2 linked regions of the Caenorhabditis elegans genome follow. The protein of the gene in region 2 purifies or fractionates together with the protein of the main gene of each other region. This does not show direct contact. Each region holds a gene or a part of one and is shown on either strand. Other genes may lie near its edges.

Region 1 (4,829 bases), 810 kb from region 2:
TGTCAGAACGTAGTTAAGAAGGTCTTTAGATTGAACATCTAAATAATTCCTCAAATGTAGAACTTGAAGTTCGGATATGAACTGGATTTGTAGTACTTCATTTGAATCCAAAGTAGGACCAAATTCGAACATTCTCTACTACAAGATTTATTTTCTTTCTCTGTTTTCTTTTTATTCATCTTGCCATTCTATTGTATTCTTCCTGTCCACTGGGTTTTTTTAACGATCACCGATCCAGCCCTATCCTTGCCTTTAGTAATCCTCTTAAACCAGACTATCTCGATTTCTCGGACGACCTTTCTTTTCCTTTTTTCCGTTCCGAAAACAGTTTGAAAAATAGAGGAAAAATGCCCATGGGAAGTCGCATCCGTGCAATGCAAACAGTCTTCGCTCTTTTCAAAACTCCTTCCTTTCTTTCTTCTTTTCTCACCAAATGGCACACTTGCTCTTTCCCGGTGTCGATTCATCAATTCGCTATCATCATATTGAGTCACCAAAACCTTCGGAAGATCCCCTTCAAAATCCATGGTTTCCGCAACCGTCACCCTCTCAATCATGTCCTGTTACAGAAAATACTCGCTTGGAGTCCGGCAGAGATCCACGACATATTACTGAAGAATCAATTGAAGAAAACGGAGACGAACGAATCGCTCATTTCGAGTACTACGAAGGAGCAGAAGAATTCCCAATTAAAGTACCACCGGAGCAGACTGCTGCTCTAATCTCACAATCGAAGACTACAAATTCAGCAATGGCAGTTCTTCCTGGCCGCTGTGTGCGAGCCTTTCTTGATTCATTTGCATTAATAATTAGTCTTGCTTTAGTAGTTCTACAGTTTGGATTGATAGATTGGTACTATTTGAATGTCACTGGAGAAAATGTGTGGGCCGCTTGGATTGGACCAGACTTTGTGGTTCTACTGATACTAGGAGTACTTGGAGTATTGGCTATCAAATACAATACAGTTCAAATGGAGGAGTGCTGTTCAATTGGTAAGTTCAAATGTTTGTAAGAGTTTCTTCAGTATTCTAATCTATTTGAACTATTGTATTCAACTAGATTGACACTTTCAAAAAGTTCAAGATCTCTGATAATTAATGAAATATTTCAGACAGTCGGGTTAAATACGCTTGCTTCGCCTGGGGAGCGTACTCCCTTATTCTGATCTCAAAAATTGCCACGTGCTTCCGCATGTTCTACGAGGACATTCCTCCAACGCCGCTTGACAACAATGACAAACTTTTCGACGACTTCCTGTTCAAAGCTGGGCTTTCTCTGTCCGTTTTGATTTTCTTGTTCATCTTCGAGTCACATCACTATACCCCATTGGTTTCTGTTCGTCAAGTGTACATCTCATATCTTGTTGCTGCCATTTGCCTCGATCTTATCGATAATATCTACTTCCTAGACTTGCTTTGGCAAGCATCGGTAAGTCGAACTACAAACTACCTAGTATCTAATTCATTTACTTTTTTTCAGAAGGACAAATGGAATCTAGAACTATGGCTCGAACTGACAATCCTGATTGTTGCCTGTATCAACTTCTTCATGCCAACCTTCGCTCTCGCCAAACTTCGTTACGCTAAAGTTCCACGATTCCTGCTCGTAAGTGAGAAGCTCTGGGCATTCCTCTACGTTCTCATTGTCAATGGGCCTTTCCTCGGACTCCGTATCTACCTGTACATTGTGCTTGAAGTTCAACAACACGGAAAGAAGTTTGATCCATCACTGTTTGCGGTCAAGAATATTGCTATGATCTACATCGCTCTTCGTGAACTTTGGACACGTCTTCAATACTGGAGAATGAAACGACGTGCAGCTTTGAGTAGAAATGAGCTTTCAGCAGCTATTCACAATCATGAAGAAGAAGAGCATGAATAATAATAATAATAGTTGCCTGTCTAATTGAAAATGAGCCACTTTGCTCATTTTCAATATCCTATCCCAATGCTTTCATAAAGTTTACCTCAGTCAGTTAGATGTATATAAGTTTCACTATTTCTTCTTTATTCGCCTATCCTCTTTCTCTGCCACATTTTTTTCTATTGGAAACACCTTGGTCTCAGTTCAAATAAATTTTGATATTTTCTGCAAAACTTACATATTGATGAAAATCGAAAAACTTCGCTGTAATCAACGGAAGCGAATGCACATTCTTCTGCTTTTGATACCAAACTTCTAATTCCAAAAGAGCTCGAACATACTTCTCCAATTCAAGTCGTCGTTCTTCGATAAATTCGAGATCCTTGTTTCCCAGTCGTTTCTTTGGAGGAAGAAATGATTTCTTTCGATCTAGAAATCGATGTACATCGTAAGCGTCAAAATCACTATAACGTCGTTCAACGGTCCAAGTGTAGGTGTCAACTGTGATTTGGATACGATATACCTGAAAATTACTCAATTGCAAAAAGTTTCAATGTACTTTTATGGAACTTGTGGGATTATTTGATTTTAATGAAACTTTTAAATTATAGTTGTTCAAAAATTAGATACCAAACTTAGCTTTATGACAGTTTTCTCATCATTTTTTTCAAATTAAGAAACCATCAAATTTTTTATTTTCGGATTCTAAATCATTCTTATTACCCAGCGAATTTTTGCGATTTTTTTTGGAAAAACGTTTGTTTCTGCAAAATGTTTATCGATGTTTCGTAGTTTTTTTTTTCAATAAAAAACATATACTCAAATATAACAATAGTAAACATGTAAATTTTGACAAATTGAGAGAAGAAAATGGAAAATTCCGCTGAGACGAGTTCGAAATTACGGTATTCATTAAAGACGCACACCTTTTCGAATTTAACAAGATTTGTCGTGTTGAGACCGGGTACAGTAATTTTGACGAAAAAATCGCGAAATTTCGCCTCTGGGTTTTATTTTCATCGTTTTTTTTCTGAATTATAGTGACAACACTTACCGTATACTTTCCTTCATCAATCATTCTAAAATTCAAAATTTTCGCATTGAAATTTGCATCCATTTGAGGTGATACTGCCTGTATATTTAGTAAGGCCATCTGAAAAGATTTTCTGAAATTTCAGGAAAGTTCTTTGACAACATGAAAATAGGAAAAAATGGATTTGACCAGTCCAATAAAATGATAATATCAGAATTAGAAAGTTCGAAAAATGTTTATTGTAAGAACGAACATGAGACCGAAGAAGAATAATTAGGGAGTTTTTTCAGAAAAGAACGGAAGATTCTTTTTAAAGTTTGAACAAAACACAATAAAAATGGAAAGAAAAATTACAGAACGAGGACAGAATGAAAAGGAAAGTGATAAACTAATTGAAAATTTACTCAATAACGTCACCCTTGGCGCCAAGACGGGTTGGATCTTGACTCGGATAATAAATCGATGATGATGATGACGCACCGCTTGATTCTGGAAAATATTTTAATACTAATATTCGTCTTCAAAAAAATAAAACTGACCTCCAGCCTTCACTGGCCGTACATTTGGTACAACAAGACTTCTTGGCGCAGCGAAAGTTGGTGGCGCTGGTGGACGTGGCATTGATCCTGTGAATCTTTGTTGTGATGATGTTGAAGGGGCGAGACCATCTGGCACTGGCACTGAAAATTAAAATATTTAAGAAAATGTACATGGAAGGGAAACATGGGAATGTGGAAATAATGATTGTTGGAAGACTGGCGCCAATCCGCTTTTGAAACATGACACCTAACCTAACTGCCAACAATAGAAAACGAAATAAAGAAACATTTTTCTCTTTAGGATTGGTTGAAAAAATCTTCTTTTAGAAACAATTTTTGGTGTGTGGAAAACGATGCGATTAAAAATTGTTCCCTTGAAGAGAATTCACATCAAAATTTGTCACAACGAGAGGTTTCAAAAAGATTCAGTGCCGACCAGCAATTCTACAAAATATGCCAGTGTAGCATGTTTTCCAAATATTTTTCAAGTAAATTATGTGATCGAATATACATAAATAGAACAATATTTTCTTAATCTCTGAATCAAGGGTGTCGGTTTTTCGATTTTTTTTTCTAAAATCGACCATTTCGTTTTTTTTGTTGATATTTCGAAGAATAGCTTAAAATTTCGGTAACTGTTCTTCTTATTAGAAGAAATTTACATGTTTTCATTAACATAAACAAAATTTGATTTAAAAAAATATATTCTATGGTAAAATTTCTAAGAATTTCTATCGATTTTCGATTTTTAGTAAAATCAAAAAAAATTTCGCTTTTAGTGTTTCGAGTTTCTGAGCAATTTTTTGATGATATTATTGCTGAGAATAGCTTTTATTTTAGTTGAACAATTAAAGAAGTGCTCAAAAATTATTGGAACGTCATTGATTTTCTATATTTATTCAATAAGTTTTAATGAAAAAGATTGGGAGAACATGCCAAACTGGCGCATTTTGATTGCAAATAATCTGTTCAAAATTATGTTTCTATTGTTGAAATTGAAAAGAAACTTACAAATCGGTACTGATGGTACTGGAGTAACATAATTTGAGTTATCTGCTGCTCTCTTGGCCTGTGGTTCTCCCCATCTAATCGTCAATCTTTTTCCTTTGATAAAAGTCTTGTTGAATGATCTTTCAGCTGCACGTTCGGCAGCTTCACGAGTTGTAAACTCAATAAATGCACATCCTTTCTCTGTTAGCACACGAAGACAACGAATATCTCCATATTGATAAAAGAAATCATTCAAATCTTTTTCGGTAACTTGCTGAGCTCCAGACGGACCCAGATTTCCAATGTACAATGTAGTGATAGTAGTGTCTGCAGGTGGAGAAAGAGTCGGAGCAGCAGCTGCACGATTGAGAATCTTCTCAGCGACTGGATCATTCGTTCCGTAA
Region 2 (5,056 bases):
ACAAATTGATAAGCCATGATATGACTCTCAACTCAACAAAACCCCTAGTAAAAACCACAATTTTCGTACAAATATTTGTCGATTTCTCGCTAGTTTTTAGTGATCTATTTGCATTGAAATTGAGGCAAAAGGTGAGTAACTGAGAGTTTTTTTTAGTTTGCAAGCAAAAACTTATCTATCATCTTATCAACTTTCCATGAATTTTGAGACCTTACATCACTAGATACGGAACAAAATGAAAAAAAAAATGTTTGAAAAGTATGGATGGTTTGTTCTCTTTTTCTCTTGTCGACATCTCAGTTTCTCATAATATTTCGTCCAGTTTCAGACAAAGTAGCCATTGTTCGAGAGAATGTATCGTCATTGATCTCTTCTGTATCATCTGTTACGAGACAAAATAAGATTGATGATGGAGATAGTATTTCCAAAAGTACTACTGTTGAAATGATTAAACAGAGGTTTTTTTTAGTTTTCACTTGACCTTGATTTAGGTGTCAATACAAAACTTATTATAATATAAAATCGAAATTTTTTACTTCAAAAAAATATAATTTTAGTTCCAAATTTGTCGTGTTGAACGTACAGTCAGCAGATTTAAAATTCTGATCGAAACTTTTTGTTGTCTAAGTATCGAATGTCTGTTGGAAGATGTTCTTCAAAAGTTTTGAACTTAAATTTTAAAGCCATGCCATTGCAGATATTACTGCCAAATTCAAATCTTTTGTTCCTCTCCGTTGATTTTTGTAACAACTCCACTCATGCGCCCAGAGTTTTTCAGTCAATTTTTTTCCGTTTCTTATCATTTCTCCGTATTTTTTAATGGTTTCTCCGTATGAGTTTTGATTTTTTGATTGACTTATTCTTGATGAACCCTCTTTCTCTCACATAACTTTTAATTTTTAATTTTTCAACTTTTCAGTTAAGAACGTCTCATATTCTTTTCCGACTTCATCCTCATCTCTCAATTTCCGAAAGCATTTCCCGTCCGTTTTGCACTCAGTTCCTCTTTTCGCATCGACAATTGGTCTGTCTAGTCTGTGTCTTTTATTTATTCATTGTAACTAAGCATTCTCTAGTTGTCTAAACTACTTTTTCGTCTAATCAACACGCTCTAACTTGATCATTTTTTGAGCGCCGCGGCTCCGAGTCTGACCCCATTTTTCTCATCGTTTTCTCGTTTATATGAACTTTTCAAATTTTATATTTATTGGTTTTGGTTGAAATATGACTAGGACTGATAAAAATAATATTTTTGAAATTTTTAAACATTTCCAAAAACCATTATTATAGACGTTATAACTTTTAAGCAATTTAGGATTGTAAGAAAAATAAAATTTTGATGAGTTGTAACACATTTACCAATTGAACATAATACATGTGTTAATTATAAGATAAATTAAATCATTAGAATTCAAAACAAGTCACCACAAAATATTAAACGTCAAAGCAACAAAATATTATTACGATTTCAAAATTACTAAAAAATAACATAAAATTTTTAGACCAAAATGTAAAGTGTTAGGAAATGTGTTTCGCTTTTGAATAAATTTTAAAATTAGCAATGTGTTAGAAAATCAGAAAAAATTGAAACTTCAAACTGATTAATTTTCTTTGTAAGAACTGCAAACTTGTAAAAACTCATTTTTAAGATGCGTCTAGACGGAACAAGATAAGTTGTTATCATTGCCACGTGTATTGATTCGAAACTTTGACCAAAATATTGAGATAAATATTGATAAGAAAACGTTCTTCAAATTGGACTTTGCCATTCACATGAATAATTTCCTGAATGCCCTTATCAAAACGTTATCATTTTTCACCTCCATCGGCTTATTTTTCATGAAGCACTCACAGACACGCACTCAAACAGCTTCTTTTCAATTTTTCGTCGAATTTTCCTCTTTCATTCGTCGTTTCGACCGACATTTTATTTTATTTTTTTAGAAGTCTCTCCCATCTGAAACTTGGGTTCCCGCAATCCGGTGAGCTCCAGCACAATGCCGTCAACTCGTTGTGCTCATCAGATGAGCACAAAGAAGAAAGCGGAGAGAGTGGATAATATGATTGCATTCCTCAAATCGGCAGTTCAGGCACAAAAAGAAAAAGGAGCACAAGCTGAGCAGGCACCGGGAAATGCAATGGTACGGGAACATTCTCTCTTCACAAAAAAACGACCTTTGACCTAGAACAGTTTACAGCTGACACAGACAATTGTTATCAGTGCACACAATTTAATAGCAATCATCAAAGATCCAAATTAATCGATCAAAGAACATTTTGACTAGGAAGAAACTAGGAATTGAATAACTTTTTATTAATGTGCAATTACAGAAGTTTTGATTAAAACAGGCTCTCTATGAAAATTTTCAATTGAAATTTAAATAAGAGTTTAGGAAAAAACTTTAGATTTTGTTGAAAATTGTCAAAAGCAACTTCAAATCCTGGGCATTGATATTGGTTGTACAATTGTGCTTTTTTTTCAACAAATATGACGTATATTCAGCATGTTTCTTGTGTGACCAAACTCTAAAAATGTTTAATCAGTACTGTATTAGTCACATGTGAACTTTAATAATTCCCATAAAGCATTGTGATATCATAGGCCTGAATTATCAATTCACAGATGACATCAAAACTTCTGGAAATATGGTCAGTTCCTCAATCAACAATCACTGAAATGCGCCTTCTTCTGACTTTGGGAGCTGATCCAACACCACTTTTCAAGGATGATTTTGGAGAGAAAACACTGGCAGATCGGATTGACAATGGGAGTGTTTGTGAAGAATGCGCTGTGAAATTTAAATCATTCCTCGAGTTTTCTGGAGTCATTTTTGAGGAGATGTACGAGAGAACACCCATTCAAATAAATCGATCAAAAAAGGTTGATGGAGTTATGGCATTGTGTCTTGATGGTGGAGGAATGAGGGGATTGGTTTCAGGTTAGAATTCTTAAATTCTTATAAATTTCCTATTTAATATAACTTCAGTGGTATGCCTTCTATATGCCTCTCGAAGGCTTCTTGGTGATGAAACACTTCCGAATCTTTTTGATTGGTTTATTGGAACATCAACAGGAAGTATGCTAGCTCTCTCAATGGTCAATAAGATATCAATAAGTGAATGTTTTTTCCAATACTGGGATATGAAAAGTCAAATTTTTCTTCGTGGAAGTACTGTAAAACGACTGCTTGGAGATCAAGTAGCTGTTCAAACTAAGAATATCGATAAAGTATTGGGAGATTGCTTCCCAACTCAAACTCTCCAAGAATGCCCAACTCGTCTCACTATCCCTGCATTGGACATAAGCACAGCTCCAGCAAGACTTCATGTCTTCAGAAATTATTCATTCACAAAACCATTTGGAGCACCGTTGAATGAGGATCAAGATGTTTTATTCAGAGAAGCTGCAAGAGCAAGCAGTGCTGCTCCAACATATTTTGAACCTTTCATATATGGAAACAAAGTGTTGGTTGATGGAAGTTTTGTTGCCAATTATCCACTGAATGTATTATTCAAAGAATATGATAGTTTCTCGAAACATCAACAACCGATCCATCTTGCCGGTGTTCTTTCAATTGGAACTGGTGAACCAGCACTCGCAGAAAGAAAATATAAAAGTGGGAAGAGTATAAGAGCAAAGGCAATGAATATTGGACATCTTTCAACTCTTATTTTGGAACAAGTAGTTGGTCAAGATTTGACAGCTGTAGAGATGGCGCAGGATAGATGTCATGCTCACAATATTCCATTCAATCGATTGAGTCCGAAGGGAATTTCAGTTCGGATTGATCAAATTGATGATTCAAAATTGATGGATATGATATGGACAACACTTATTTATTTGGTAAGTCTTCAAGTTTAATTCCAACTTCCATTTTCAAATTTTCAGACCGAAAACGTCCATGAGATCGACCAACTTGGTGAAATGATCTACAAATTGAAATCGGATCCAACAGAGCGGAAGCGTAGAAGCAATACGGTTCTCTAAATTGAAAAATACAGAAATTGTTTCATTTGAATTTATTCATATTTTGTTTTATTCTAGTCATTCCCACCATCTCTGTCAATGCATGTAAATTAGAAGATTAACACTTTTATTGTGAATAGTTGTTTTATTTCCGTTTCAAGCTGAATACTTTTCTGGCGCATTTTCAATAATTTATAATCATTTTTTGATTTTCTGCGACGTCTAGATGACTTTCCAGTTCCCATTTAAAAACGGGCATTCTCTTCCCAAAAAAGGCACACTTTGCTCCTCTCATTTTATTCGTTTCTAGTCTCATCTTTCACTGAAAATTCATCTAAAGTTTTCTCGGGTTCTTATATCAGTTCCCTTAACACTGTCCACTCATCCTTTCCCATCCCATTTTTATCACTTTTTTTCGTCAGAAACTCGATGTGATTTATTTGGTTTTCCTTGTGTTCCTCCCTGTGAAAATTTAATTTTTCGTTTTTGTGTATTTGTTCCTTGATGAAATATAATTATGCTGATTTTGAAGAAATATTTAAAAAAAAACAATTATTATCTCTTGACTTAGAGTTTAAAGCGAACAGTATGAAAGATTCTAAACAGCTAATTAAAAACATTAATTTTTTGTCATCTGCTAAATTTCCTAATGAGACTTCTCGATCGGGTCGAGATAGATTGCCTTTGAATTTTTTTTTAAACTTTCCCAACACATTTAGGGTTTCATTTACATAGAGCTTCATGCAAGACATGATAAAACTATAGGTAAATGTACTCTTAAAATGTACTCTTAAAAAAATTAAAATAATTCACTGCCAAATTTATTTTTCATGACTTTTTGTTCCATTTTTAATTTCTTATCTCTTGAACTGATCAATTTACATCAAAATAAGCAAAAATCGATTAGTTTCAAATTCAATCAAGAAAGAGTACATTAACTTTCTTCATAATTTACACCGATTCGAAGTAAGTTTGGACACGTTTTCAGAAATCGTTTACTGTAGTTTGCATGCGACGTTCTAGGGTGTTGTGAACAGCCTGGATTGCAATGCCCGAGTTGTTCGCTGGTAAGCTGTAAGCCCTCAAGTG

What was found. Proteins that work in one complex are often made in the same cells at the same time.
Region 1: the proteins of ipla-7 (region 2) and nish-1 fractionate together in Caenorhabditis elegans (co-fractionation; one large-scale study listed by BioGRID). This does not show direct contact.

Annotation. Positions count from the first base shown.
Region 1 is NC_003282.8:10,862,518-10,867,346, reverse strand, and holds the start of nish-1 (PX domain-containing protein), read right to left. Parts: upstream 3,017-4,829; coding exon 2,918-3,016; intron 2,387-2,917; coding exon 2,102-2,386; intron 2,090-2,101; exon of another isoform or gene 1,882-2,089; coding exon of another isoform or gene 1,480-1,881; intron 1,429-1,479; coding exon of another isoform or gene 1,112-1,428; intron 993-1,111; coding exon of another isoform or gene 570-992; intron 1-569. Other genes in the region: F13E9.11 (uncharacterized protein), read left to right, coding at 570-992, 1,112-1,428, 1,480-1,881; rbm-22 (Pre-mRNA-splicing factor RBM22), read right to left, coding at 3,297-3,385, 3,436-3,576, 4,447-4,829.
Region 2 is NC_003282.8:10,056,067-10,061,122, reverse strand, and holds ipla-7 (PNPLA domain-containing protein), read left to right. Parts: upstream 1-1,944; 5' UTR 1,945-1,997; coding exon 1,998-2,141; intron 2,142-2,623; coding exon 2,624-2,939; intron 2,940-2,987; coding exon 2,988-3,844; intron 3,845-3,889; coding exon 3,890-3,988; 3' UTR 3,989-4,532; downstream 4,533-5,056.